Oreochromis niloticus: one gene and its partners. The protein of the gene in region 3 binds, or shares a complex with, the protein of the main gene of each other region. Links are inferred from orthologs where the notes say so. Each region holds a gene or a part of one and is shown on either strand. Other genes may lie near its edges. The genes, in order: pigo, pigg and pigf.

What was found.
Region 1: pigf (region 3) and pigo share a complex: the UniProt entries of both Homo sapiens proteins name them as parts of the ethanolamine phosphate transferase 3 complex. The link is inferred for Oreochromis niloticus from reciprocal best matches to the Homo sapiens genes PIGF and PIGO.
Region 2: pigf (region 3) and pigg share a complex: the UniProt entries of both Homo sapiens proteins name them as parts of the ethanolamine phosphate transferase 2 complex. The link is inferred for Oreochromis niloticus from reciprocal best matches to the Homo sapiens genes PIGF and PIGG.

What each region holds. Positions count from the first base shown.
Region 1 is NC_031972.2:28,372,734-28,383,083, forward strand, and holds the start of pigo (GPI ethanolamine phosphate transferase 3), read left to right. Parts: upstream 1-5,588; coding exon 5,589-5,706; intron 5,707-6,247; coding exon 6,248-6,391; intron 6,392-6,567; coding exon 6,568-6,691; intron 6,692-6,896; coding exon 6,897-7,056; intron 7,057-8,739; coding exon 8,740-8,922; intron 8,923-9,069; coding exon 9,070-10,350. Other genes in the region: stoml2 (stomatin-like protein 2, mitochondrial), read left to right, coding at 832-931, 1,044-1,102, 1,187-1,288, 1,375-1,509, 1,884-2,028, 2,138-2,217, 2,300-2,428, 2,539-2,664.
Region 2 is NC_031966.2:32,763,891-32,774,547, reverse strand, and holds the start of pigg (GPI ethanolamine phosphate transferase 2), read left to right. Parts: upstream 1-5,456; 5' UTR 5,457-5,757; coding exon 5,758-5,911; intron 5,912-6,011; coding exon 6,012-6,217; intron 6,218-10,657. Other genes in the region: guf1 (translation factor Guf1, mitochondrial), read left to right, coding at 1-46, 2,533-2,652, 2,751-2,787, 2,873-3,007.
Region 3 is NC_031973.2:10,622,432-10,632,620, reverse strand, and holds pigf (phosphatidylinositol-glycan biosynthesis class F protein), read left to right. Parts: upstream 1-5,270; 5' UTR 5,271-5,428; coding exon 5,429-5,656; intron 5,657-6,290; coding exon 6,291-6,382; intron 6,383-6,772; coding exon 6,773-6,889; intron 6,890-6,995; coding exon 6,996-7,104; intron 7,105-8,514; coding exon 8,515-8,628; 3' UTR 8,629-8,855; downstream 8,856-10,189. Other genes in the region: cript (cysteine-rich PDZ-binding protein), read right to left, coding at 3,264-3,329, 3,578-3,593.

The DNA of each region.
Region 1 (10,350 bases), on a different chromosome or scaffold from region 3:
AGAATTGGGAGAGTTAATTTAAACTGGTTGGTTTCCTGACGTGGACTCAGCTTTTGTGCTTCATTCCTAAATTTTCAATAGGATTAAGACTGGGGCTATATAAAAGCCGCTCCAGAAATGTAATGTCAGCCTGTTTTATCCACTCCATAACCAGATTTGATGTGTGTTTTTCATTGTCTTCATTGACCAAATTGGTCACACTCTAGAGCCCTGTAAGACATCTGACTATCTTGTATTTTTGTACACTTGTTTGATGATCTTAGATTCTGCAGCTGTTTAGAAATGGCTTCAAGTTATCTTTCTAACTTGTGTAAATGTACAATTCTCCTTAGATCTTCACTGAATTCCTTGAACTTTCACATTGGTCTGAGTATTGGCCACTTCAGTGAGTGCTGTCAAATCATTTTAATGCTGGCAAATGGAAACTACCAGTTGTAGTCAGTCATGATGGCAGTCTTGGCCTTGTCAAGTTAAAACACATTGTAGAACCTTCAGCACCACTTATGAACACAATTAAGTGATTGTATGTTTATATTTGAGCCCGTATGTATACATACAATCCTACTTCAATTCTCATTTGTTTAAAGTAATTAAAGATGTATGCTGTACAATCATTCCACTTCAAAGAAATCATTAAAAGCCCAAACATTACCATGTCATTCATACCATGAACATTTTAGTGCATTTTATTTTGATAGACTACAAAAGAAACTTGCCTTTAAGCAACAATACTATAACTCATTTTGCTTTATTATTGGAACTATGTCATTAAAATTGAAAACATTATTCACTGCTGGCACACCCTAACATTTTCCCTTTTGTTATCTATAGGGTTTGAACTTCCTCATACCCATACTTGACAGAATTCGCTATGTTCAAAGTCTCAAAGAAATTGTGATTGATGTCCCAGAGCAGTCTGCAGTATCCCTAGGTAAGTAAAACATTGTTTATTTCTCATTATTCACAGGTGGACGAGCAGGCTTATTTTTTTAAACAGTATTGATTGTTTTCTTCATATTTTTATACTTTCTTTGAACTTGCAGATAATGTAACACTGCAGATTGATGGCGTGCTTTACTTAAGGATACTAGACCCTTTTAAGGTATGCTGGCAACAATTAGAACAGATCCAAATATCTTCTTTCTTGTTTTTTTTAAATTCACTTTATACTTTTGTTTGTTCACAGGCCAGCTATGGTGTTGAGGATCCAGAGTATGCTGTCACACAGTTGGCACAGACCACCATGCGTTCAGAACTGGGCAAACTCACATTGGACAAAGTGTTCCGAGTAAAGACAAACTGCTGTTTCATCTCATATCTTTTCTCTGTTCATGAAGGGACAAGTTGTATTTTATCTTTGCATTTGTTTTTAAGGAAAGGGAGTCTCTGAATTCCAACATCGTCCATTCCATTAACCAAGCTTCAGACGAGTGGGGAATCCGTTGCCTTCGTTATGAAATCAAAGATATACACGTTCCACCTCGTGTCAAAGAGTCCATGCAGATGCAGGTGAGAGAAACAAAAGAGCTTTTTGGAGCACAATTTTTAGTTTTTAATTCACTGCACGATCTTATGGTACAAATGGGTATTACATGAAAGTACAGCTTAGCCATCCAAGTACAGTTCATATCTTCAACAGAAAGCATAGACTTTTTGTAGTCGAATAACTTGTTTTCTTATATTGTGTTGGTTAGTTTGGTTAAGTTTAAGAGGTTTTACACTGATTCCTAAAAACTAGAGTTCATAGTACCTTAAAGAAATTATAGGTCTTTTCAGACAAGGTCAGAAACATTTTTTGCATATAGCGGTAGATATTTCAACTGTGGGGACAAGACTAAATCACTTAAATTTACTGAAGAGAACACTTTATTCACCCCATGTAGGTGGAAGCTGAGCGTAAAAAGAGAGCCACGGTGCTGGAGTCTGAGGGGACAAGAGAATCAGCCATTAATGTCGCCGAGGGTCGTAAACAAGCTCAGATCTTAGCCTCGGAGGGTGAAAAAGCAGAACAGATCAATAAAGCGGCTGGTAGGTGCATTTAGTTGGTTTATCACTCCAATTTCCACAAATTATCTCACATCTTTTTGCTTTTAGAGGCTAATATGCTCCCTGTTACCAACTACTCTGCTCCCTCCAGGTGAGGCCCAAGCAGTTCTAGCCAAAGCTGAGGCCAAAGCCAAGGCCATCCGTATGTTGTCAGAGGCTTTGACAGAGCAGGTAATGTTCTTTTCCATTTTCACAGTCTGACTTTCAAAAGAGTTTTCATTTAATCATGTTTTTTTTTTCCTTTTAAATTCAGAATGGAAATGCTGCCGCTTCACTAAGTGTAGCCGAGCAGTATGTGTCTGCTTTCTCAAACCTCGCTAAAGAGTCAAACACCATCCTTCTGCCCACTAACACTGGTGACATTAGTGGAATGGTTTCACAGGTATGTCTACTATCCAATAGTCCCAACTATTGGATTTATATGTTAACAGCTTCTAAATTATTAAGTTTACATGCCCCTAATGATGCTTATCTTGTCTTCTTGCCACTCAGGCTATGACTATTTACAGCACGCTGGCAAAGCCAAGCATGAGGGTAACTCCAGAGGTTGTGGAGGAGAACCGTGAAGAGGCTACGAACCAGTCGGGATCACCTCAAGAACAGAGAATTAATGAATGAACTCAAACTAATAAATGACACAGAACCAGAAGAAGCAGTTTATGTTGAAGGTCCACAGTTTGTTCTCACACAGACCTTAAAGAGACAGGACAAAAGGGAAAAATTGCCAACTTTAAAACTCTTCCGAAGCCTTGTCCTGGAGCCTGGGGGAAAAGTTACACCTTTTGTATGGGGATTGGTAATCTTCACTGTGTATGGTTTAATTAGTGTATGTTTGAGAAAGTAACACCAGCCTCCAGCCAAATACACAGATACCAGAGTCTATCCAGCTGACATGGATGTCAGCACAGACATGGATGCAAAAATAAGTCTCCCCTGAGCTATTTTATATTTTAATATGTTGAGCCCTTTTGACCTCTCTACCTGAGGTTTTTGTCATTGTTTTCTCACTTTGCAGCCTATTTTCCATGTTTTCCCAAATGACTATATTCAGGTTCTCTGAGATTATTAATAATTATATAATAATCAAAGCCAGCTCAGGTGAAAATATATACGTAGGTATTATTTACAGAAATAGGTGACAATTCTCCCTCTACTCTTTGTGTTGATGGGACCACCGACTTTAAGTTGCTGCATGTGATGTCTGGCTGGATTCCTCACAATGTTTCTAAAAGTGTATTAATTTCCCAGTTTACTACGTTTTTGGAAACATTACCCTATCGATAATAAAGCTGTATCCCCATGAAAAGGTTACATTAGAATTTCCTTTAGGAAAAAAAAAAAAAACTTTTTGAAATGATTAAGAGAGAATTTTTTTTGTCAAAGACTAGGTAATGTCCCGTGTCAGCTCGATGATCAAAATATTCCTCTCCTCCGAGTATTTGTATTCATATCTGATGTCTTATCGCCAGATATATTTATTAAATTTCAAGATTCACTGCAAAGACGAAGTTTGTTTTGTTATTTCTGTTTTCTACAAAATAATGGAATATGAACTGGGCAACTGGGCATGTTCAGTCTGAGAAGATTTGAAAAGATGTGGTTAGATGAAATATTAGGACAAAAATGTTCAAAATATGCAAACATGTTTAAAACTGTCAAATGGCTATAAAAATAAAAATAACACACCCATGCTGATTTAACAAAATCTGTAAAAGTAAATACTTTCGCCTATCTTGTTACCTGATAAACAAGATAGACAAACATGGAAAGCGCTGTTGGTTTATTAGCCCTCTACCTTGCCTTGCAGGCATAAACGTGTATTTACATGAACTGTGGGCAGTGACTTGCACTTGCCTCTCAGCAAAAAAAGATGAGCGGTCACCTGGGGCCTTCCTATGTGGATTGTGCGTGTTTTTTCCTGTACCTGGTTCTGTCTTAGGTCCTCTCACAGTCCGAAAACATCTGTTAGGTTAACTGCAGATTCTGAATTGGCTGTAGAGTATGAAGACTTATGTCTTTGTGAATTCTTGAGATGGTCATTTTCACCACTACCATCTTGGTGTTTTGAAGCCAGATGTAATGAGTGGTCTGAATGTGAAACCAAACGCTCGTTGATTAAATATTTGTCACGGAAAAGTTGGTAGCCAATGAGCTTGCCCTGGCTAATTTTTCACTCAACCCTTAGAAGATCAAAATTTATTAAATGGACTCAGTGTTTCACTGTTTCAAGATCTAAAGGCCATTTTCACAGCCACAGCCTTTGATTGTCTTTTTACAATCACAGGTTGTGGCTATTAAAAACAAAGGAGGCTTAACAAACTTGGCCACTGGATTCACTTTCTGCAACTGTAGCAGTCCAGGGTGCAACTTGCTTTTTTCCCAGTGACAGCTGGGATTGCCTTTAGTACCCCTAGCTACCCTAAATTGTATCAGTTAAGTCTAATTTGATTTTACGTTAATAAACCAACCAACAAAAAAAAACAAAAAAACAATATTGTAGTAGACAAAGATATGAAATATCATTAAATTAAAATGTTTGTGACCATTATTGATATTTTATAATAACTTTTACTAAACCTATTTCTAATCCATTCTTATTTAAGGGTGATTTCTCTGCAGAATTTCTGACGTGTTTAGCAATTTTCAGAGAAGCGCTAAAGCCGTTGTTCCCTGTAAGTCACAGAGCGGGGCAAAGCAAACGTATTCATGGTGTTACACAGAAAAGCGCCCGCCGTGTTCCTTCCACGCTAAGGTTCCTATCTACCACCAGTCATCTAATCTCATTGTACCAGAGTCCCAATGAAGGTGAGCGTGTTGCTCCGCTCTCTGTTTACCTGAGGCACCTGTGCTCCTGTGTTGTTAATACACACAGTCACCCCCAACGTCCGGCCGGGAGAGGACGAAAACTAGCTGCCACAAGGTCAGTGACAAAAGGCGAAGCGTGCTAGCTTCTGCTAACAGCGTTAACTTAACCGTCATTCATGTTAGCCACCTGTGCGGCTCAACTGCAAAAGAGGTTTTAGTTGGAGCTTAAAATTTCAGTCACCTTACACGTTATCTTCTTCTATAACAGGTGTAGCTCACAGGCAGCTGTTCCGCTCATTTTTTTGTGTGTTTGTTACCTCTATGTAAACCAAATGTTACTGTATTTCACCTGACCTGCTCTTACCTGTGCATGTAGGATGAAGGGGCTGCCTGTGCTGTCCCTGCTTTTCTGGATGTGTGCGGTGTTCTTCGTGGGCATCTACCTGTTCGTGGGTGGATTTTTGCTGGTCAGGTTGGAGGTTAACAGAACCAGCACCTGCGGAGACGTGCTCGAGCCCGGAGAGGAGCCGGTGGACTTCTGTCGAGCTCAGCCGCGCTTCCGCAAGGTTGTCCTTCTCATTATCGACGCCCTGAAGATCGACTTCGCCCGGTATGACCCCGACAAGACGGCACCACGACCTTATGAGAATAAGTTACCTGTGCTGGAAGAGACGGTGTCATCCAGGCCTTTACAAAGCCGCCTGTACCCCTTCCGTGCTGACCCACCTACGACCACCATGCAGAGGATAAAGGGGTTCACGACTGGATCTTTGCCGACGTTTGTAGATGTAGGTAACAACTTTGCATCCAGTGCCATCTTGGAGGACAATCTTATTCACCAGTTTGGACAAGTAGGTGAGTTATTACAAGTGTCTGTAAATTATAAAAATATAATACATTCATGTAAAGAGCTTTATGGGAAACATACAGATGAGGACAACGTTGGGATGTAGGGATTTTCAGCAAAGCATTTGCTAAACAATAGCCTCCCAGAAAGCAGACCTCTTTATTGAGCCACAAACCACTGCTATGGTCAATGACAGGAGACCATCAAATCTGGAGGAGCTCGAGAGATTTGTCAAAGAAGAATCAGTTGGGTTTGCTCAGAAGACTTGTGAGCTTTGCTGAAAACTACAACAAAAGACCACAGGCTGTTATCTTGCAAAAAGGATAAATAATCAATTATTAGCATCAGGAGGCTAATAATTTTGACCCTAATAGTGTTTGGTTTTGTTTCTGTGGGTAAAGTAAAGTAATATAAGCATCAATAATTCTCTGTTCATCTGTAGACATGCTCTTTTCTGCCTGGCAATACCACAAATCTAGGACTTTTAAAACCAGAAAACCAACTGTGCCATCTGATTTTGCTCATATAAATCTTTCTGTCTCTCAATAGGCAAACGTGTGGTGTTTATGGGTGACGACACTTGGGAGAGTCTTTTTCCTAAGAAGTTTTACCGCTCTCTGCCCTTCCCTTCTTTTAATGTCAAGGATCTCCACACTGTGGATAATGGGATTCTCCAGCACCTCTACAACACTAGTATGTAGTTACTTAATATGCATTTATTGTGCAATTAAAACCTACATTTAACAAATAGCCTCTGTTGCCAGGAAACTGTGCAAAATCAAAATAATTTTGCACCAACACTTGTTTATGCGGTTGATGTATTTGTGTTTCATCTCCTTTTGTTTGTCTCTTGCTGTTGGTTTTAATAGTGGTGGGCGATGACTGGGATGTCCTAGTGGCTCATTTCCTTGGAGTCGATCACTGTGGTCACAGGTTTGGCCCGGATCACCCAGCCATGGCTGACAAACTCACGCAGATGGATGGAGTCATCAGGTCAGGCAGTAGTACAGATGCTACATGCTTGTTTCACGCCATTATCCAGATGCAGCTGGATCATCAGCTGTTGCCACAGTGCACTTGTAGTGCTGTAGATATGTCATGATACCAGCACTATTATTGTAATATGTTGGCCCAGATCAAGCAGTTGAACATTAGAAAGCACCTGGCATGACCTGTGAAAACTCTGCTTTTCCTCTAGGTCTGTGATTGACCGTCTGCAGAATGACACACTCTTGGTGGTGATGGGAGATCACGGAATGACAGATACTGGAGATCATGGTGGAGAAAGTCAGAAAGAGACTGATGCTGCCATCTTCCTCTACAGTCCTTCTCCCATGTTTCATGGACCCCCATCACAGGTGGGTAGAATGCACCTTTTGAAACAATCCTACTGACATGCTGTGACTAATTCTTATTTAAAATAAACCAATTCTACATCACTTGAGTTTGTATAAAATATAAAAAATTAACAGTGAAGACATACTGTCATAATCAAAACAAATCACTAGTGTACGTTAACAAAGAAATTGTTAAATGACAGTTTTGGCCCAAGTGTATACAATATCCATCAATTCATTTTGTGCTGCTTTTCTGGGTAGCAAGAACAGCAATCCAAGCAGAGATGACTAGGCCTGATTCTCTAGCTCTCCTGGTGAGACACAGAGTTGTTCCAGAGCCAGCTCAGAGACTCACAATCTTCATTGTGCCCTGGGCCTAATCTGGGGTCGCCTCCCAGTAGGACACCTAACCAAGGAAGCTACCAGGAGGCATCATAGTTAGATGCCTGCACAGTCTCACCTGGCTCCTTCTGGTGTCAGGAAGTAGAAGCTTTATGCTGAGCCCATCCTAAATGACAGAGGTCTTCAACCCTATCTCCAAGACACCCTTTTGAGAAAGCTCATTTCTGCCTCTTGTAGTCTTGATGTAATTTTTGTGGTCACTACCCAGGGCTTGTTCCCATAGATGACTGTGGGATCCATGAGTAAATTCAGGGTTCAGCCCCCTGTTTATGACAACAGACTGGTACAGCATCTGCATTGCTGTGGACACTGCACCAATCTGTACAATGTCTGCTCCTCTCTCGCCTCCACATGAGGCACTAGATCATTCCCACTGATATACATAGTGTAGTGACCAGTGCTTATATCAGTAATTTAACTATGTAAAAGAACCGCTGAAAACTGCTGTAAAAGTCAGTTTAATTCAGAGTGAGAGTTGAGCACAGAACAAGAAGTTATGAGAGCACACTCATCATATTGTATCCCAGTAATGGGCAGTCACATGTTTAGTGGTAGAAACATTTCACTCTTGTTGCTTTTCAGACCAACACCATCAGTTCAGTCCACAAATGAGTTAAAAAGGAAGAACAAAGTCAAGTCAAATATATAACTAACACAACTGTTTTCAGTTACTTGTGTGTTTGTCTTTATCCTGTCTGCAAAGGCACATTTACGACATGTCGATCTCTCAGAATAACTGCTGTAATAAAAACATGAAGCATTAAACCACTGATGCATGCCCATTTCTGTTCATGCTTGGCTGTGCAGTTCCCAGAATCCATTAAATTGATGCTGGCAGGTGGTCTCCGCCTTTTTTTCATAGATAAAAGTGGATCTCGCACTAGAAAAGAGAGCTCAAGTACCGATTTCCATAATTGCAGCCTAACTGGAGAGCTATATCATATGCCGTGAAAAGTCATTAGATGCAAGAGAGAAATTACACTGCTATTTAAAAAAAGGCAGAACTTAGTAGACACTTTTTTTTTTCTTCCCCCCCCCCCCCCAGGCATTTTTGCCACTGCTAGGAAGTATTGCTGTTATCAAGCACAACCCTGATTTAAGAAAGGCTACAAGATAAAATATCACTCACTGAGTTTAACTGACAACCCAGCCTTGGAACAGCTAGTTATTTTGCTATGTGCTAAAAATATTTACTTCAAAATATCACAGATGATTATAAGGGTCAAAGCACAATTTAGATCACGAGAACACAGAATAATGTAATGTGACACATTTTTATTTTTCCCCCTGTGTATTTCCCAGAATGAACCAGATGTGGTGCCACAGACTGACCTGGTGCCCACCCTGGCTCTGCTACTAGGAGTTCCTATTCCGTATAGTAATGTTGGGCAGGTTCTCTTGCCTTTATTTCCACCGCATGAGCAGACAGAAGGTGCAGTTGGAGGTCTCAGCCAGCTGGAGGCACTGTGGATCAACACAAAACAGGTATGCTGCTCAGCAAAGAACTGTCTAGAACACTTTTTGAGCATCTGTACACAGAAAAATCTTTTTATATATTCACATATCCTGGAGCCTTTTCAGGAGTTGTTGTTTTTATGGTTTGTGTGTTAAATTTTATCTCTGTTTCTGAAGGTCAACCGTTTCCTGGAGACTTACTCTGGCATGGCCAAAGACATCCCACCAGAGAGCCTCTCTCGGCTGAAGAGTGAATTTGCCCTCTTGTCTTCTGAGTTTCTCAGCGCTGTTAGAGAGGGTCGTTCACCCTCCCCGCAGCTAGCCTCTTCTCTGCAGGCTTACCTCACCTCTGTCAGAGACACCTGCCGAGCCACCTGGGCCCGATTTAACCCACTGAAGATGGCGGCAGGTTTAGCCATCCTGGCATTTGCTTGTCTGATGTGTTTCATCTTGTCTGAACTGTCTCTAGTGCTGATCAGGGAGAACGGTGCATTACTGAAGACTCCAGTTGTTGTGTCACTGACAGTGGGGGTTAGTGTGGCTGCTGCTCAGCTACTCATACGGGGCTACATTGAGGTGATGTGGTGCCTTGCAGCTGCTGCTTTCAGCTCTGAACTCCTTTTCCTTTGGCGTTCACGCCAACTGAGCACCTCTACAGTGTCAAAAAACGGAACCAAAGCTCCAAAGCGTGTTAGCTGGCTGACCCTGCGTCATCTCCTAGTCCCCTCTCTCTTGTTTCCACTCCTTCGCTGTGCCTCTCTGCTCTCAGACAGCTATGTGATTGCAGAAGGCCGGGTTGTGACATTTTTGGTGTTATCCCTGGCCCTATGCATTCCCATCCATCTCAACTGGGATGGCCTACTTCTGCCCCCAAGCCATGACCCGTTGAAGTCTGCTGGGCTGCTGCCTGCCCCAGCTTTGTCTCCATCAGCTGTGAGGAAGGAAAGCGGCACCCTTCTAGCCTGCTTAGGACTACTTGTTGGCAGCCTCTACCTCTCCCTCTCGTTCCACGGCTGTCGGGAAGAGCAGGGCTCCTGCCAGCCATCTGCATTTCTTTCCCCTCTTTCCCGGTTGCAGGACAACCAGCTGAAGAACCTCCATTATGTCCTTGCTGTCATTTCCCTTGGCTTGTGGACATATCTGCTAAGATGCTTTCTCTGCCACTATGGTAATCTGAACTCGTCAGGCGGGACGGTGTTTACAGCTCGCTGGATCCTACCGCTGCTGTCTGTGTGCCTGGGGCTCCACTGGGCTGTTAGTGCCACTCCGGAGGACAGCTTCAGGAATCTGGCTGAGCTGATCCACTTGGCACAGCTGGCCCTCCCCAGGGTCGCCTTCTGTCTGCTGGGACTGGGGCTTTTCCTGATCTGGCTAGACCCCCTCACTGTGTTCGTGAAGACTAGGACTCAGGCTTCAGCCAAAAGTTTGACTCTACCCACACCCCGTTATCGAGCAAGC
Region 2 (10,657 bases), on a different chromosome or scaffold from region 3:
TGCTGAATGGACGCCCAGTAGAAGAGCTGACCACAGTTGTACACAGGTACATTTCAGATAATGCTTTGACGTAAAAATTGAGACTTTTGTGTTAATTTTCACTGAATAATTTACTTTTTTTGGCCAGGACATGTGACTGGATGTTACTTAAGAGCACCTTGTTATTTATTTTTTTGGTCATATTCTTACCTTCATTGTTATTGTTACTGGCAAGGTTACAGTATATAGTCCTTCATTACTATAGTAATTACTCTTTGCCTGTGGAGCATGAAATGTATTCAGCACTATGGTTAACATTTAAGAAAAAAAGGTCTTTTGGCAGCTGCTGTTAACATGACTTTACACACTGGACAAGGACAAAGGAGTAACTTTACAGAAGAAAAGTGATGACGCTCAGCAAGATCTGTGTTTAATGTACTCACTAGCAAAGGCGGTACAGGAGCCAGCACAGACGTAGGTAATTGAAGGGCGCTACGCTTCGCCAATGATGGCTACTCTCAGACAATTTATACAGTAAGCCTTGGAGCTCAGCCGACTCGAGCGAAGCTTCGGTCTGTTCTTTAAGGCCAACGCACCAATCACAGAGCAGAATGTCTTTTATTGGAGGCGTGTTCTCTACACCTTTTCAAGTAGAGAAGTCATTAACATATCTTACAGTTTGAAAACAGATGTATAGAAAATGTACGATCCAGTTTCTCCAAAGAGATGGGTGATAAAGTTCATGCTTCATTTGAGAGGATGGAGCTAACTGACCCTAGTTCATTTTATCAAATCACGAGAAAACTGAAAGCTTTTTCATTTTTACACGGGCTTAACATATCTTACTAATAAACAAACAAGTAAATATATATTATTAATAAGTATTTTTATCTAAGGAGCTTCTGAACTTCTTGAAGTTTCTTGAAGACGTTTCACCTCTCATCCGAGAAGCTTCTTCAGTTCTAAAGGTAATTGGTGGAGAGTCCCAGATTTTTAAACCCTACTGGGAGTGTCCTTAAGAGGGTCGTTGACCCACTATTGATCATCTGCCTAATCACATGACCCAGGGTGTGAAAACTGATGTGGACCACTATAAGGGTGAACCCATTGTGAGACCTTGCCCCACCCTATCATGTGACTTATGTAAGTGGGGGTTAAGGCGTCTAGGAAGGGATCTCAAAAGGGTTAGGGTGGGCCAGGCTCTCACAGTGGGTTCACCTGAAACCTTGGCTGATAGATGAAATGTCTTCAAAAGACTTCAAGAAGTCCAGTCGCTTTTCTTTTAAAGCTCCTTAGATAACCATGACCTGGATGACTGAGAACCTTCACAGACATTATATTTTTATATAATACTAATATAAAGCATAATTTTAAAACTTTGGACAGAGCTATGCAAGCTCTTTGGAGTATCTTCTTAGTAGCGCTGTTTTAAATTAGGCAAATATCACGTTTGATTGTTGTGTGAAAAAGGAAAAAAAAACAAGGTATGGACACATAACTGAAGCTTTTGAGTATGCATGCTTCCAGTTAGTGTTATTTACATGTTCAAAAACAGTCTGAAAGAGTTTGCACAACATAATTATTCTAAATAAGATAATTGTGTAAGAAAATAAATCAGACAAATGTTATGACTTTTAACTGTTTCCTTTCAATCGCTCAGCTGATGTCTGTCTCTGTGATGTGAGCTAAAGCATTCAGAAGTCTCTCCTTGCACCAGCACTGGTGTGTCAACAGAAAACAGAAAACTTCACCTACTTCAAACAGCTTAGAGCCCAGACGATATCAGCTGTTTGCTGATAAATTGGTATCTGCATTTATAACAACCTGTATAAGCAAAGTTAAAAAGTGAAGCGGAGATGAGAGAAACACCCTTCATTCATGTTAGGACTGTTGGTGTTACACAGTTTATACACCAGAGGGCACTCTGCAACTTCCCTGTCGGCAACATGTTTCTAAAGCCATAAAAACAACCAAACTTTAAATTGCGTTGTCATATTATCTTAGTAGGGACTCATAAATAACTACACATATCAACTGTTCAAGAAATCAGTTTGTTTTGTGAAAGAAAAAAATATCAGCTTCATATACTGGATTTTTAAATCACCAAATATTATATTGGTCAGGACAGTGTTTAGTGAAACTTCAAGTGTCAAACTGACTTTGGTGAAAATCCAGCTTTGCATTCTGCAGTGTTTAGAGGACAGACCCACCAATAATGCTGCTTTTTCCACAGTCTGTTTTTAAGCTAGGACTCTAGATTTAAGGACAAATGTTTAAATTTCAAAGTACCGTGAGTCCTCTGGCTTCAACCACGGTTTGATTTTGTGCTGACCTCCCAAACAGAACGCTTATTGATTAATTGTAAATGACACACGGGCATGTCAGTATTCACTACTGTATTTTAAGGTGACGTGGTGAGGGTAGTCGACTTTATGCTCCACTCTCATTTGCTTTTTCATCAGCTTTACCTGTCAGGGTGAAGCTGATATATGGGCACCCGTCAGTACTTTAACAGTTTTATGATTTGTTCTGATAAGTGTGTTTTCATTACAGGGAGCGTGCGTACAGTACAGGGAAAGCCATGTGTGAGCGACTAAAGGACTCCATCCCAAGGCAGATGTTTGAGATTGCCATACAGGCAGCTATTGGAAGTAAAGTCATTGCAAGAGAAACGTAAGTACAAGAGCTAAGATTTTGTTAAAATGATGTGTAGAAATCAAAAGTAAAGTACTGTATTTAATATGTGGTATGACCACACGTGCCTCTTCCAGAATAAAGGCGTATAGAAAAAACGTTCTCGCAAAATGTGTAAGTAAAGCTTGTTTTTTCTTTCTTCTTAGAAAAGTCCAAATATACCACTGATGCCTTAAAATCATTTTTTTTGTCTTGGTAGTATGGAGGTGACATTACACGGAAGATGAAGCTCCTGAAGAAACAGGCAGAAGGTAAAAAGAAGATGAGGCGGATCGGCAATGTGGAAGTTCCCAAAGATGCCTTTATTAGTGTTCTGAAGAGGAAAGAAAAATAGACTGTGACACTACGTATGAAACAACATGGAGCAGGTTTTTGTTATTGAAAGGCTCTGTTACCTTTTCTTTGAATAAAGTTCTGCAAACTGGAGTGAAAATCCTTATTTGTACATGTGTCACAAGTTATTGGCTCTTTTCTCTCAGACAACACCAACATTACAAACCATTCTTTCATCATTACACCTTCATGTTCATGACCATTATAGTTATAACTTATAGTTATACTTGTAACATTTACATAAATGCAGTGAAACCAATCAGGAGAATGACTAGATGTTTGAAATGTCAAAACCCCACACTGGTTCAACAGGAAGTAAAACGAGGAGCTCACATAGTACAGTTCTGTACAACATCTACCTGCTATATTGTTCAGTATGCGCCCTGATCAAATTATAGAATTATATAGAAATGTAACTGGGAGCCGCAATGAGGAGGCCAAGCAGTTCAGCAGGGCACGGTCGCCATGGCAACTCAATTCAAGTATGTCAAAGGGACTTAGGGGAAAAATACACTTTTGCTTTCTGTTACACCTGAAAATGACGCATTATCTTTGGTGCCATCACGTACAGCAGTTACTAATGTTTTTTTGTTTTGTTTTTTTTCAAGTATCACACAGTATCGAGGAAGGCACTGACACTCGGCGTTTTAAAGAAAAAAAACATATAGATGCCATTTCCATCCTTCATTATCCTAATGTGGAACTTCCCAGACTAGAAACTATCAGACTGCTTTCGCTGGCTGTTTGGCTTTAGTTAGTAGTAAATGCAGACAGCCACTGTCCTATTGTAGTCCTAGACGACACTTTTACGTGACAATGAAAATGCTTTGATAGCTGGGATCACTAATACTTCAGGAATGACACCTTTTCCAAAAAGGCAATGACTCAATTTTAAAATATTTTCTGGTATAACTAGATAAGTACTAGTTTTCACAGATTTGATTGGTAATAAACATCAGTGACTTTAACCACCTTCACTGTTTCTAAGCTTTAGTTAGAGAAAAAAACAAATCGTCCGCAATCATGAAATCACATTTCACAACTTTACTTGGCCAGAAAATTGTTCAGTAAATTGGTAGATTGGTAGAAGACATGAAGTAGTACCTCCACAATTATATAAGCATTCTGATTTTTAGAGTTACACGGTGAATAACATGATTGCTTGTCCTTCTTTCATAAAAGATTTATGTAAATTATTTTTGTTTGACAGGATATTGTTTTGGTCATTGAAAGAATGGCTTTCATCAGATGTGTTAGGATTAGGATTCAACTTTATTGTCATTACATATGTATAAATACGGGTAATGAAATACAGTTTGCTGTACAGACGGGCAGATATACAGATGTACTATGAACAAATATACTGATGTGGTCTGACGCTGATGAAGCCTGATTGGACATTTTCATCAGTTAACAGTGCTTCAATGCAAGCATAACTCAAATCAAACCATCTTTGTTTAGGAAAACAACCTGCACTTTAAATTTACCCCATGGTCCTATCAATATTATTTAGAACCTAGTCCTTCATACTTACTACGTCTTTATTTGTTGTTTTTTAGACCTTTTCAGATGAAAAAAAGGGAAGAAGTACAATTTATATTCCGCATCATTCATGCTGCGTTTCTAGGGGAAAACTAACTTCATTGTTGTCTATCCTGTTTTTCCAGTAGATGGCAGCAGGAGCTCAAGCACACCGTAAGGTGGAAGTTAATTCCGTCCCCAGCTAATTTCCAATCAGGCTTCATCAGCGTCAGACCACATCAGTGTCACATTTAAATTGTGCAAAAGATTCAACACTGTCCCCAGCAGTTCATTTCCCCGATGAAAGTATCTCATTGCCTCTAAGTGCTGTCCTTTGTACTTAGGCAATGTAAGCAAATCCAATTCAGGGACCAGCTGGCATTTTGCTGCAGTAAAGAGGAGGAGGACAAACGCTCACAAAGTGTACTTCAGCGCGTGTAGTGGATTCAAGAGAGGAACACTTCTTATTAATCTGCGTGGACTGTTACAGATTATAGGCTTGTTTTTCCTTCACATTTTGTCAGCATAGCAGGGAGAGCACATACGACTCTGACGGATGACTAATGAGCCCATTAATCAGGAACGTAGGGAATGAATGGCCATAGGTTTGCCAACAGGCAGTTTTTATGTGGCTGTCAGACAAGTAATAGCTTTCAACTGCTTCTGCTGTTGAGATGGAAGCTATTGAGAACAGTACTACAGTATAATTGCAAACATTCAGATGGAAAACTTTCGTTATAATTAAACAGAAAGTCATAGTGTGTGTGTGTGTATAAAACTGTAATATTCAATTCAATTTTAAAGTACCAAAACACATCAGCAGTTGCCTCGGGGTGCTTTATATAGTAAGGTGAAGACCTTACAATAACAGTGTCACTCTGACAAGCAAGCGTCGTAGGAAACGCGATTTGGTGTTGTTAGGCTCCAAGTCCCACCCGTAGTTTCATGCTATCAATGCGGAAGCAGCTATGAATGAACACAGTGCTAACTGCTGGTAGTGTTTTTATTGTAAAATACGCCCACATATACACCACGCAACTACAGGTCATTGACACGTAGCTTTTTAATATTTTGATTCACAGCGCTTCCACCTGAAATGGGATACCATGACTTTTTCTGCTCTTTTTTATTTAAGTAAACAGAGTAGAGAGCGTTATATTGGTTGCTAGCTAGCAAGTTATCCCTGTAGCCTAACTTACTGTTTTCCTAAAGTGTCCGTCGGCCAACACCATGAAGGTCCGCTCGTCTGTTTTTGCCTCCTTTATTTTAATATTCGAAGTGATTGGCATTGCACTTTTCCTGCGGGGATTTTTCCCCGTACCTGTCAAGTCTTCTTTCTCATCCAAGAGCAAGCTGTCAGATCTGCCAGCCGAGCCGCTGACAGGTGAGTCCAGCCTCATCCACATCTGCTCACACTCCTCTCTTCTGCCTGTACTGTTGACTTAAATCTGTTAAAACTCATAAGCTTTCTTTTAACCTCACAGGAAGCGCTCCTAATTCATCGCGCCTCCCGCAGCCCCTGTTTAAAAGGGTGGTTATTATGTTAGTGGATGCCCTCCGAGAGGACTTTGTGTTTGGACCCAATGGTCGTATGTATATGCCCTACACAAGGCACGTGGTGGAAAGAGGCTCATCACACAGCTTTGTGGCCAAGGCGAGACCACCTACAGTAACTATGCCCAGGATCAAGGTAGGATGCCACTAGCATGATGTTGAAATGAGAGCTCACCCATCAAATCTGTCCACTGTCTGTCATCATGGCGTGTGTCTGTTAGAATTCTGGATTAGCGTTTGCTGTAGTGAGTCAACCACTTGGATCCAAACTGTCAGCATTTCTCAAATCCTTTCCAACTCCACAAATAAATCTGCATCTCTGAAACTCTACATTAGCACTTTATTATGTAGTGAAAACATGCAGCGGATGATGCCAGGAATATTCAGTTGTTCATACCTAACCTAACCTTGTAACATTGTAGTTCTTCTTTAAATACACACGAATTTCTCTGCTTTCTCTATGGTGCTGAAGGCATGTAATATTTTCCATTGCAGGCATGAAACCCAGGCTCAGTATTAATGCTCAGTTTACTGTCCATTTTGTCCGCTTTGCAACTCAAATGCAGATTTAAACAACATCCCTAAATCTCATCTGTTTTGGTGCTTTATAGAAATCTGTTGATTCACACTAACGAGAAAATTGGGCGTTTATGTGAACAGACAGTTAAAAAAAGTGCGAGAAATCAAGACAGGAAACATAATAAAACAGTATGGAGGAAGAATAAAATATAACACTTTAAAATGCTTGTGGATAGTATAAGTCTTGATTAAAAGAAAATAGCTAGACAATTGGAAGCGAGCAAAAACCATAGAAAACATAAATGTCTTCAAATCTTTCTGATAAATTCGGTGGATGGAGAGCATTTGATTGCGTACTATTACTCATAGTGAAACAATTGTTTGGCAATATCTAAGAGCTCAGATGAGAAAATCACTGCAATGAAAGAGAAAAAAAATCCAGATCTCCAGCATCCATGGAATAGTGCCAAGAAATTCTACAGTGTGTGACATCTAGCAATGATAGAAGTCATTTTTAATAAAAGATAAGAACATTTAATATATGATATGATACCTGATAATGGAATATATTTAAATCAAAAAGGTTAAAGCCTGCACCTTTCCATTTAGTATTTTGTCTTAAAAAATATTTTATTGTAATTCTGAACATTTTCTGGTTCATGCTGTTATAGGAAACTATAAATAATAACCAAAATGCAATAATAAAAGTTATTATTTTTATTCTTGTTATTATTATTAGTGGTAGCAGTAGTATTCATTTTAAAGACTTGTGTTTAAATTCCTAAGGAAGCCAGGCTTTAATTTGTTTGTACACAGGATTCGCATTTGTTCCTAAAGTATGAACAAATTCAGGTATGAAAATGTTGATAAATGATGGATTTGTGTGTGAAATGCTCGTACGCATGATATACACACAGATTTGTGCGTATTCACTTTTGGTATTAATATCCTTAAGGGAGCGAATGGACTTAAGTTAGGAAAATTCCTTCAGCTTGAAAAAACAACTTAGCACCACCCAGTAAGGTGGTGCTACGTTTTTAACTTCTGTCTTATTTGCACTTAATTCAGATGAAATTCCTGGAGACAGCTAAGGATGGAACTTATGCAGGTTGACTACTAATGATTAAACTACTATATTTGTTTTATGTTAGCATAACAGTGAAATGAGATATTGCGCTCATGAAAAATTTTGCCTAAAGTGAACATGTAAATAAACAAAAAAGCTCCTAAAGATGACTCCTGAGGTACACCACCAGTGATTGGGGTGGAGATGAAGAAAAGCTCCAAATCTTCACCCAAAAGGATCTTAATCACTGTTTTAGATATGGATGAACGTCTTGAGAAGGTTGATTCTGGTGCCAACCTGATTTATTAGGGCGGTTTAAAAGAGTTCTGTGATTGAGGTGTGCAAAGATCTGGTAATACAACAATATATACATAGTGCAATTACCCAAAAGCACCTTTAAGAATTGCAGATTCTTAATAATTTGATTGTAGACAAACGTGAAACTGGTGAAGACCAGGATTGTAATTTTGACTTGTACTGAGAAGGATTTAAATCATTCCATGATCAGAGGTGTTTAAGCTAGAAATGGCAGTACTTCTGTGAGCCCAGAATAAGCTTGTAAAAAGAACCTGTGAGGAACATTTTGAATTAGCCTCTAAGTTTTCAGCCCGTGTCTGAAAATAGGGTTAGATGGCTGAAAGCGTGAAAACATGGTGTGTTGTCACATTTGGATGATGTGTCATGTTGCTGAGAGTATTTTGGGAGCGGAGCCAGGAGGGAGTTGGAGTCATGTCATGTGCACCTTTCATGACAGTCTGCTGTGCTGTAACACGTTAACATCGCAGACAGACAGAGAGCACACCACCAATTAAAGCCTACCTGGAGCCCTTGCTGATACTTTTTAGGGAATATATCTGATATTGATATCATCAGCCAATAGCATTATATGTACATTTACAAAAGAGAGATGGAGTCATTGTTTATTAGTAAATCCCCCCTGCTCGTCTGTGATCGGTACTCAGCTACATGTGCTGCAAACAGGAGCTGTGTGACGGGCTAACCATTTCAAAATCTGCAATCGTATAAAAGGTGTTTATATTGGTGCAAAATGGACAACGTAAAAACCTTTACCTGTATGTTTGTGATATACAGCTTGATATTTCAGTCAGGCGCTGTTGTCAGTGGTATTGAAGAGATTTTGCAAAGGGAATGATTTTCGGGGAAAAAGAGCAGCCCTCTTTTGTCCATGGGTGTCGGGTAGTGCTGAGCTTGGGGGAAGGCATCTAACTGAAATTGTCAGGTGAAGCAGAATATGTGTGCCTGAGTGTCAGAGGGCAAAATTAAAAGCAGAGCCTGTGCCTTAGAGGAAGCGGTCTGCGGTGGGAGGATCGAGGATGTGCTGACAGCATCGAGTTGTTTTAACAGAAGGAGACTGCTATACAAACTCAGACCTGGAGAAACGTGCTGCTGAAGGTTCACAGTATGGACACAGTTCTCCTCTGTAGCGTCTGGCATGGGAGGCGTGAGAGTGCTGACTCGGCAATCTTCAGATTAGTGAGGGTGACAGAAAGCATGTGTTGGTTAGGCAGTGGACACGATGAGAGGTTGAGGCACAAAAAAGTAACTCTGGTGGAGAATGGAGGGTAGAGAAAGAGTCTTTTTTTTTTAAAGTCAACATTTACATGTTCTGTATTTATTAAACATAAAGGGAAATACTTCAATTCTTTTTTTGTTTGGACTTTGATGATTGTGGCTTATAGCTCATTAAAATCAGGAATTCATTATCTCAGATTATTTTAGTATTGTAATCAATTTAGTAATCAATGAATGATTTATAATAAAGAAATGTCCAACTTCTCGAAAAGCAAGTTTATTTATACACTCGACACTGGTTGGGCCTCCGTTAACACAAACTATTGCATGGGTGTGTTATGACATGGAGGCTGAGGTGTTACTGAAGCACAGGTTGCTTTGATAAAAGTCTTCAGCTTGTCTGTATTTTTGGGTCGGGTGTTTCTCATCTCCTACTTTACAGTACTCAATGGATTCTCCGTGGGCTTCAGGTCAGATGAATTGGTTTGCCCGTCAAGCTCAGTAATAACATGGTCAGCAAACTGTTTGGTCAGTTGCTAAGTCCTGGTGGAAAAAGAAATCAGCATCTCTGTAAAGCTTGTCAGCAGACTGAAGCATGAAGTGCTCTACAATCTCCTGGTAGATGACTGTGCTGACTTTGGACTTGATAAAACACAGTGGACTAACCACCACCAACACCAGCAGAGGACATGTCATCCCAAATCATCAAAGACTGCACAAGTTTCCACTGGACTTCAAAGACCATGGATTCTGTGCCTCTGCGCTCTTCACTCTAACACCTTGATTTCCAAATGAATGCAACATTTGCTTTTATCTGAAGGAGCACTTTGGACCACTGAACAGCACTCCAGTTTTTTTTCTTCTTAGAAGAAGTCAAGTCAGAAGTGGCTTCTTAGCCTAGGTAAGATACTTCTGATGTTGTAGACTAGATGACTAAACTAATGAAGTCATGGAGTACTTTTCTGTTAATTGAGTGGTTTGACACTAGGAATGTGGCAGTTGTAGTCCCTTTCCTGAAGACATCTGTGCATGTTGGCACTGAATGTCACCAGACTCAGTCCATTCATATGAAGTTCAAAATATTGACTAGTTCTCTTATGTACTTAAGAACTCAGTCCACAGTCTGTAAGTTCTTGAGTACTTATGGCCGGTCCTTGACAATCCTTTCGAGACTGCAGTCTGTAGTCTTGGAATATTGGCCCACTCCTCTTGTCTTTCTGAATTTTAATTGACAGGATGTTGCACAGGCTGTTGTACATGCCCATTAAAAAGTGTCCCAAATGTGCTCAAAGGGGGTCATGTGTAGCGAGTAGGCAGGCCATATAAGGACTGGGATTCAACTTCAAAGGGTTGTGTACAGATCCTTGTACTGTGGGGTTGAGCATCATCCTGCAACAACTTTAAGTGATAGTACATGACCCCACCCTATCCCCCACCCTGGGGATTCATCTTTGAAGA
Region 3 (10,189 bases):
CTGACCTGACATATAGACACAGACAAACAGGCAAACACAGACACAAACATGCTTTCCCACCCTCATGCACACATATACAAACACTCAGCACTCACCCAACGTAGGGATAGACATACATGGACATGTACACACAATCATACTCCCCAAACATACTCTATACCCCGGGTCCAGGTACCCTCGCCCCCAGAGGGGCAAACGGCACCCAGACCCTTTATGGCTATTCTGATCTCTTCTATGCAAAGGACCTTGCTCCAGAAGTCTTTTGGTTTGTTCAGATGCAACTTGGCAAACCTAAGCTGTGCTGCCATGTTTGTGTTAGAGAAAAGAGGCTTTCTTCTGGTCTTGTGTGAATTTGCAGGCACATTCATTCCTGGGAAGATTGAATGTTTTCCACTTTATAATAATTTTTAATCACTGTAGAATGATCAAACCATAAACAGACTGATGAACATCAACAAATGCTTCTCTAAGGTCATTGCTGACGTCTTTCTTCCTTGGCATCATGTTAAAATACACCTGAATGCTCCAGACAGGCAAACTGCTAAAACCTATGCTTTTATAGAGATGCTCACACTTGTTGATGATCAAACCAAAACTAAATGGATTTGATTATCAGTACCTGAATGCTACCTACCCTCTTAATTCCCTAGTTTTTTACAGGATTGCAGGATTGTAGTAAAGGAATAAATTATGCAGAACTGACATTTTTCTTTGTGCTTCTGTGCTTTTGCACAGGAAAGATGAGCGAGGTTATTGGTAATGTCAGCCATGTGCTAACTGTCTAATTTTACTTATACTGCACGGTGTTTGGCCAAAAAAAAGTTGTTTAGCCCGTGCAACAGGGACAGTGATTGATTAATGTACTGTGATCCACTCTCAGATCCTGTTTAGGTAGCTGTTTGGGGAGTTTATTTCCCACTTCCAATATGAAGAGAAAGGTTATACAAGCCAGGAAGCACTGGATCTCAGTTAACCGTTCTCATAGAGCAATGATTGATATCAGCTAAGTGGGTAAAAATCTTTATTCTTTCCTTTCATGTTTTTTTCTGTAATTACTAGTAACGGATGCTAATAAGATGCTTTCTTGAGAGTAGCTTTACATTAAAAGTTATAGCCTTATAGTTATAGCCTTCATCAAGTCCTCAGTGCTTAGGCTCAGTGGAGTTCACCTTACAATAACAACACATTTGCTCTGTGTGATTAGCACATCATAGCTGCAGATCTCAGGCCATCTATCAGTGTTTTCCTAACCACTTATCCAACTGTCATAGCGTGAGAGACACGGTACAGCAAACACAGCCAACACAGAGAGACAACTTTTCACTCTCAAATCCACATCTACAACTGATTTATAGTCAACCTAACAAGCATGTTATCATACTGTGGAAGACACATCAGCTCCCAGAAGAAGTTTGAACCCAGAACCTTCTTGTAGTGTGGTGACAGTGCTAACCACTGTACCACACTAATCTCAGGGCAAACCCGGTATTTCCTTGTTTCTCACTTCAGCAGCACTTATATAAACAATTAATGGTTAAAGAGTGTCATCTAGTGGTAAGAATTTAGTTGAAGTTTACTTTAAGAGTTAAATTCTAAAAATTGGACTAAAATGAGAACTTTTAAAGTTCATAGAGTCACATTATAACATGTATAAATGTTTAAAACATATTCAACCATTTAAAAAAGTTTACTTGCTAATCTCATGATACATCAGTGCAGTTCTTTATATGTCTGCTATGCCCTCCGATTGTTTGGCCACTTCATGAAAGACAGCTGCTCTCGCCTGTCTTTGTTGCAGTTCTCCCACACCTGACTGCCAGAGCCGTACGGGATTATGCTTGTTTGTAAAATCCATGTAATTAGCTCCAGCAGCAAGTGCCCCTTTGCATTTAGTCACCAAGCTAAGAGATGCATGTTGATTCAGGATTACTTATAGTGATCTTGGGAGTTGAACTGTGGCAAACCTGTGGGACCTGCTCTGTTCTGTTGTGTTTGGTTAAACTTGTCTGTATGTTAGCAGAAGCTTTTGTGGCCAGGCAGGGAGCGTAGGCTTTGTATTTGTGCTTTGACATGTAACTTGGTGCTTCTTTTCTTTTTTAGCAATAAAAATAAGTAGTTTTTTTTCTGTTTACTTTATTATTGTAAATTGATTGTAAATAAATGCCTTGTTTGTTCGACAATCTTGTATGAATGTTTGTGATTTGGTCTGCTGGTATGTTATGTTGTACTCCATGCCCTCCATAAACTGCAGATAAAAGCCCTTTAGATATGCAAGTCAGAGATGATTGTAGGCTTATATTCTTGAGTTACTATCACTGGTTTTAAAGAAAAGAAAAGAAAAGAAAAGAAAAGAAAAGAAAAGAAAATTGGATATCAGGTCATCTCCAAAGTACATGTATGTACATTGTGAATAATAGTAATAGTAATTTTGGACTTTAAATTATTTCTTTCAACTGTTCCTTTTCCAAGGGAATAATTGTACAGAACACATCTTGAATGACTTTAAAAAAACAAACAAAAAAACAAAAACAAGAATTGGGTGCACAGGTTTGGATTTTCTATAATCCACACAGGGTCAAAAGTATACATACAGGATCAAAAATATACACACACTATCATAAGTTTTTCATTAAATGGTGCTGAATGTTCTACAATGTATTTTAACCTGACAAGGCCAAAACTTCTTAACTCCTCCTCAGTGATCATGATTGACTACAACTGGTAGTTTCGCTTTGCTAACACAAAAATAATTTGTTTTACAACACTCATTGGAGTCATCAATACTCAGAACAATAGGAAAGTCAAAAGAACTCGGTGAAGATCTAAAAAGCAGAACTGTAGATTTACAAAATTAGGTACTTTTCTTGGAGCAATTTTAAACAACTGTGGACTCCAAAATCGTCAGTTCAAACAACTGTATGTAAATACAAACTACTTACATGTGCTACCACTTTGCCAAGGTTTGAATGAGGACGGAAACGAGGAATCACCAAGGCACAAGATTGGTCATGAACTAGAAACTTTTCGAACACCATCGTTCATTTGAAGTGACTTTTATACTGCAAAGGACTGGTGGTAGCATAATGCTGCCAGTGATACTGGTAGACTGCATAAGGTGGATGGAATCAAATAAGGAGCCAGAACTATGCCACAAACCATATTCTTATTTTTCTTTTGTTTGTTTTAAGTCATTCAAGCAGCCCTTGCACACTGGTGACATTATGCCATTGAACTGAAACAAATCCAGATTTTACTCTGTTCACCTGTTGTATTCCGGGCTCCATCCTTCCAGGTGTCAGGAGTGATGACCTTACCGAGCTTCTTCTCACCTGGAGATAAAAAGCAACGCAGCATATGTAACAAAAGCAACGCAGTGGATTTAAAGGAAATAAGCCTAGAAGGTGAAGGTATGTTTTCCTGAACCAAAACAACAGTGAGGACAGTAATAACAACAGTTAGCATCACATAGCGTTAGCCAGCTTTCTAAGGATCATCGAGCTTCTCTTAACGGGAAAAAAGACATTAGAATTGAAGATCTAAAATAAATTAAGTGATAGGAGAATGGCGAGATACCTACACTTTTCACAAACCATTGTCCTTCTTTGTTTGTTAAAATAGAAGCAGAAGCGTTAGCTGCGTTTAGCTTTCTCTGTTAATGTAAACTTCCGGTCGTTACTTCCGTTTCCTTGCAGCTCGCAAACGATTGATTGGTTAAAGCCTAGATTTCAAATCTCAGATGCCATTGGTTAGCTTTACTGCGCTTCGGCGAGGGTCCAAGTAACCCGTTCTGTGATTGGTTGCAGTTTCCCCTGTTCATCTGTAAAGTGGACGAAAACCTGTAAGTTTTCTTTAAAAATTAAAAGTTTGCTGCTGCATTATTTCACACGTGTGAATATAACGTGTGAAATATAACGTATGAAATACGTGTGAAATAATTAAATCCAATAAATAATAATAAAAAACTTTTAAAGCTTACAAACAGTAGGCGACTATAGCAGTCAGGCAGAGATAGTTTAAAGAACACTGAAGAATCTCATTTTTCTATTTCCCGTCAGAATAACGTTATAGCAGTGAAAGTAGAAAAAGAATGGCCCTCACTGATAAATAGTGGTTCACATCTAGCTACATGTGACAGTGTTCACATGTTCTGATTAAATAGGGAAACTGATTAAATAAAGGATTATGTTCAAACAAGTATACCACAAACATACAATTTGTTTTCAACAAAAAAAAAATCTGTGGTAAAAGTGGCTTAAAACAAAATCCACAATAATAATAAAATGAACGGTGGTTTATGGATGTAGTAAAGGAGGATAGGGTGGAGAGGGTTGGTGTGACAGATGAGCAGGGTAGTGGTAGGATGAGATGGAGGCAGATGATCCACAGACCCATAAAGGGAGCAGCTGAGAGATCTGAAAATGGATTAGAAAATGTTCTACACAAATATAAAAACACAAAAGTCTCAATGACTCCTTTGTCACTTTGGATTGAATTACACTGGACCAATTGCATTGGCCCAGGTCTCACATGTGAAAGATGAGAAAAGCCCATCTCCCACCAACCATTCTCACCACCTACTACAGAGGGAGTATCGAGAGCATCCTGAGCAGCTGCATGACTGTCTGGTATGGAAACTGCACCGTGTTAGATCGCAAGACCATACAGCGTAAAGTGAGAACAGCTGAGAAGATCACTGGAGCCTGTCTTCCCTCCAACACAGACACTTATTGAATCAACTGCATCCACAAACCCACCAGCATTGTGGAGGACCCCACACACCCCTCACACACACTCTTCACCCTCCTGCTTTCTGGTAAGACATACCGAAGCACTCACGCCCTCAGTGCCAGACTACAAAACAGTTTCTTCCTCCAAGCTGTCAGACTCCTGAATACTCAGAGACAAGACTGACACACCCACACACCTTTATACATTCCATTACCTCAAGTACTTATTGCACAATGCTAAAGTCTTTTTGTAAAACTATTGCACCATCTTGTGTCTGTATGGTTCTGCTCTATCTGGTGTCGCACTGTTTTTTGCCATTTTTGCACACTTGCACTTTAATTAGTCCTGTGTTGATTTACTGTTATATGTAGCACCATGGTCTTGGATGAAAGCTTTTTCGTTTCACTGTGGCAGCAACAAATGTATACTAAATGCATGGCTGTCTGTAATATATTTAAAGTTGTTAAAACTATAATGTACTTTTATTGAACTTTGTCTTGCCTCATCTACAAGGAATAAGTATTGTACTTTTATTTTGAAGTGAAAGCGGAAGTGAGCATGGTTCCATGTTTACGGAAACAAGGTCAAGCGATTCATCTATGGATGTTACCTGTGCTACAAATCCAGCGTTACGTTGAGGTTTAAAGTGTTTTGTGTTCAATTTGTCGGTGTCCTGTTGTAGTTCGCTACAGCCTTCACAATGTGGGACCATGAAATCAGAGCCATGGCGTCCACTCACGCTATCATCGCCGCTTCGGTGTTCATGGCGACGGTGCTACCTGCTGTGCTCGTACCGGGCTTCTCGGTGTACGGCACACACCTGCTGTGGCTCTACTCGGTGTCCGCTGCGGTCACCGCGGTCAGCGTGGCCGTGTTCTGGCTGCTCGGGATCACACCGCCCGCCAAGAAGCACACGCTGGGATACAAGGTGCTGATAACGCTTTAATAATGATGGAGTGATGTGTGCAGTGCCACATGGGCTGTTTTATTTTTTTTAAAAGTGCAATCAATGCAGTTTTTAAAAGAGGGTTTCATTTGTTAAGGGGGGAAAGCGATCCAAACCGACCTGGCCCTATGTGAAACACTAATTGCCCCATTCAAATTTTGTCTTGCTAGTCCACAGAATATTTTCCCAAAATTCTAAGGGGATCAATAAGATGCTGTTTGGCAAATATGAGACAAGCTTTTGTTTTAAATTTGGTCAGCAGTGGTTTTGTCCTTGGAACTCTTCCATGGATGCCATTTTTGCCCAGTCTTTGTGTGTGGTTTGTGGATTGTGGTGTAATGTGTTGCTCTTAGACTACTCCACTTTGTCAGACAGACTCTGTTCAAGTGATATTTTAATTCAACACGTCTGGCAGTAATCAGGCCAGGGTATGGCAAGTAAAATTAAAGTTGCCTTTCCAAAAAAAGAAAAACATCTTGACTTATTTGTATATAAATTAATGTGAATACTTGACTCTTGCATGTTCATCAAACCAAGATCTTTTTTCCCAGGAAGTGATCTTTTTATATCTGGATCTTAAAGGTTTGACTGTTTTCTCGCTGTTTTTTTTCTGCAGCTGTCGAGGTTGCTTCGCTCCTGCCTGTACTTCTTCCTGTCGTGCCTGTTCTTCCACACTGTTGTTGTCTTATACGGAGCTCCACTGATCGAGTGAGTTGTTGTTTTTGCTCGTGTTTACATGTATGTGTTTAACAGAGGTTGATAAAGAGAGACGCAGAGAGCAGAGATCGCCACAGTAATACACAATAAACTAAGGATCCATGGAAGGATCACACATAAATGAATGAAAACAGCAGGCAACTACAGAAATCTTCAAACCCTGAAATGATTCTGTCACTTATAAAAAGTCAAGTGAACTGAATTTCCCAGAGGAACCCACCCGAGGGATTAATAAAGTTTCATCTAATCTAATCTAAAGTGTTTTACTTTGTCTCTGCTTGCTTTTTTATGTGCTTTTTTTTTTTTAAACAAAAAACAAAACTGTCAATAACGCTCTTATTGTAGTTGTCGTTGATACCGTGAACCTATCATTTCTTACAGATCTGCCTTAGAAACATTCTCCCTTGCTGTGCTGCTGACTTCGTTAACCACGCTGAGGTGTCTCTGTGTCCTCGGCCCCAACGTCCAGGCCTGGATACGAGTCTTCAGTCGCCACGGGTAAGGCTGAAATCATTTTCCTTCTTTTTCTTTCCTCCTGGCTTTTCACATGACTCTGTGTTGAAGATAGTAACTGTTCTTGCTTTTTCTTTGTCTCTGGCTCCAGAGCTATGTCTGTGTGGGACACCTGTCTGCAGATCACTGTGGCCTGCACACTTGTTGGAGCCTGGGTCGGAGCATTCCCCATACCTCTGGACTGGGATAGGCCCTGGCAGGTAATTCTATGCATGGACAAAGCGTATACTCTTGGATTTGTATCCTCACATTAGGTCTTATACAGTCTAGCATGTGACTTTTTTATGTTTAGGCTCCTTTTTCATTAAATTACATGCTGCAGTTTAATAAACGGGTTCCTGATATTTCCTCTACACACATTCATTTCATTTAGATAAAAATAACCCAAGAACTGGCTCAGTCAGTAGTCTGGCTGTGGCACTTTGTAAGCAAATTAGCTGGCAATGAAGGTACATTCAGTACTTTTTCTTTCCCCAAGTGTCGACGCAGCAGATGGATCTACGTGTTTAATTTGGCACAGAGTTTGTGCCAGATGCCCTTCCTGACACAACCTTCACATTTATCTGAGCTTGTGACCCCGAGGCTGGGTTTGTGTCTTCTGGTCTGAAACCAGGGATCTTTTCCATCCCTGGTTTAATTTGTTAACCACTAAAGCACGGAGAATCAAATGTCAATTTTAAATTTTTTTTGCAAATAAAATGAATATTTCTTGCTTTGGAAGAGAGAGTCTGACTAAATCTCTAATCCACTGTATGTAGAAATGTTCTCTATCCACAGTGGAGTTTTTGCTCTTAAGACAGGGAACTAACACGACCATTTAAACCATATTACCCGCGAAGCCTCTCTTAGATTTTTCTGAGGTTTTCTCAAATGACTGCTGGATTCACAAAGGCCTCTTAACTGCATGGACTTGTAAATTACTGGTTTCATTTTGATGAATGGAGGAGGTGGATGTCCTTGTGTTTTCATTATTCCGTTAAAAATACCTTTAAAATGACCTTAAATGGGTACTTTTCTGCTTTGTTAGTTGGTGAGTAGCAAAAGTGTTGTAGAAGGGGAGAAAAGGAAGAGAAAACAGTAAAAAAATTGGAATACACGTGTATTAATAGCAGCAACATCAGGCTGATGTGCTGTAGTGACAGAAGTAAAGATTGTCTTTCAAAAGCAGGAATGAAATGATAGGTTGCTATGGTGATATATAACACAAGTGTGCCAGAGGATGATACTGGGCACTAACCTGCATGAAGCCGGTGTGGTAGCTGTCAGAGTGAAAAAGCTGGTGTAAATTACACATTTTTTTTTTGTAGTTGATTTAAGTTGTTAACTTCCAAATTCTCCATCACGATGATTTTTTTTTTTTAAGCACTGGACAGAGTAATCAGCCAATGAATAATGAATTAGATTGTTTTTTTAATGGAAAATGGAACACATTAAAGTTATAATTGCACAGGGAATTCTGTGTAAAATGACTGAAGGAAAATGCAGAGGTAATTGGGGTGTAACTCAAATTGACAGACTAATAGTTCAGCTTCTCTTTGATGTATCGGACCAGTGTCAGGCTTTTAGTGAACAATCATGCTCACTTTTCTACTACTTCTGTGTTTTTGTAGGTCTGGCCTGTTTCCTGCAGTTTTGGCTCTTTGTTCGGCTACTTGACCGGGCTTGTTGCAGCTCCAGCGTGGATCCATTATCACCGCAAACAGCTCACATACAAGTGCAAGTGATAGTCAGACACACGTGTATTATGCCTGTGCTTGTGCGAATGTATCCACGATGGTGTGACTCCTCATCCTGCTGAATTTCTCTCACTTTTTATTATTTATTTGGGAGCATTCACCCCCTTTGCAGCCTGTAGGGTTGGCAGTTTTGTAACAGCTCAGAGGTATTATTTTGTACACGTGATGGCTGAAACTGAATATTTTTAAATGTAATAAAATATTTTCTTCGGTAACGATGTGTATTTACTTGTGAAATTGGGCGATTAAAGCTATTCGACGTCAGTGATGTGTCGCTGAAAAACCTGCAGGTGGTGCTGTTGGTTCGCCACCTGTGTGTGTTTATGTGAAGGTGAGTAGAGTTTTAATGAAAACAAGAGACTGAGGCTCATTTGCAGTGAAATACAAAGTAATCAGTATTGTGGTTGGGCGGCCATTTATTGAGTCATGAGAGGAAGTTAGAAAATTAAAGAGAAAATGTAAACCTGCTGCAGAGTTGGCTTCCATTCTCACACACACACACTGACGCTATTCTGCACCTGAAGCCGACTGCTGATGAATACTGTTCCTTTTTAAACGACCATTAATCTCGCTCCAACTCTATTTCAACACCCTCCCCGCCGCCCCAGCTCCCATTCCACCTTTTTCACATCCTTGGGCAATCATATTGATTCACTTTCATTTCGAGGACATTAATTTTCCTCCTTTCACGCCGCACCACATCTCTTAGTCCTCCCTTGCACCCAGTCACCGCAATGAAACTTACATTTTCCAGACCGGAATGTCAAATTGAAAAGTAAATGAGTGATGTTGCTTGCAGATCGTCTGAACGCTTGGTATACATAAATAATCATGGCTATGATTTAAAAAAAAAAAAAAAGAGGAAGAAATTGTCGGTTATCTTTGCTGTTTGAGCATTTTGTGCTGGAAAGTTTCAGTACAAAATCAGAGGCAAAGCTGCCCAATCGCCCTGTGCTTGAACTCCTTCCTTGTTGCCAGGGAAAAAACAGCCTGAAGGAAACAGATGAAAGATGGAGCAGAGGAAAGTCTTTGAAAGTCTACATATGCTTACAGCATCAATCAATGGCCTAATCTTTCCCTTCTTCTCTTTGATGAAACCCAATCCGACCTCATGCTGTTAACTCTATTACCCTTGTGCTCCATGCTTTTCTTTTTCTTGTCTTTTTTTTTTTTTAATTTTACACTTCACTTCTGATGCGTCATTACATGTGGAGAGCAGGGGAGCTGGAGAGGAGGGCTCGGGAAGAGCATAAGGTATGATCAAACAGGTATTACACTGACCTTGTGCTTTGTATTAAAAAGCTAAGTCTTAAAAAAAGCTAAGATTAGATATGTTTTTGAGTCCTTTAAGGGTTCTTTTGCAGGTGTAGTCTATTTACTCTGATGACTGAAATCTGGTTGAAGTTGGTTTGCTTGTGCGCTCAGTCACCTGTGGTTTTTTCAATCTGTGAGACACGCACAAGGCCCTTCATTCACGCGCACACACACAAAAGCTGCTGCTTCACAAATTGTTCCCCACATTCGATCTCAGAGAACTTTATTTATTCAT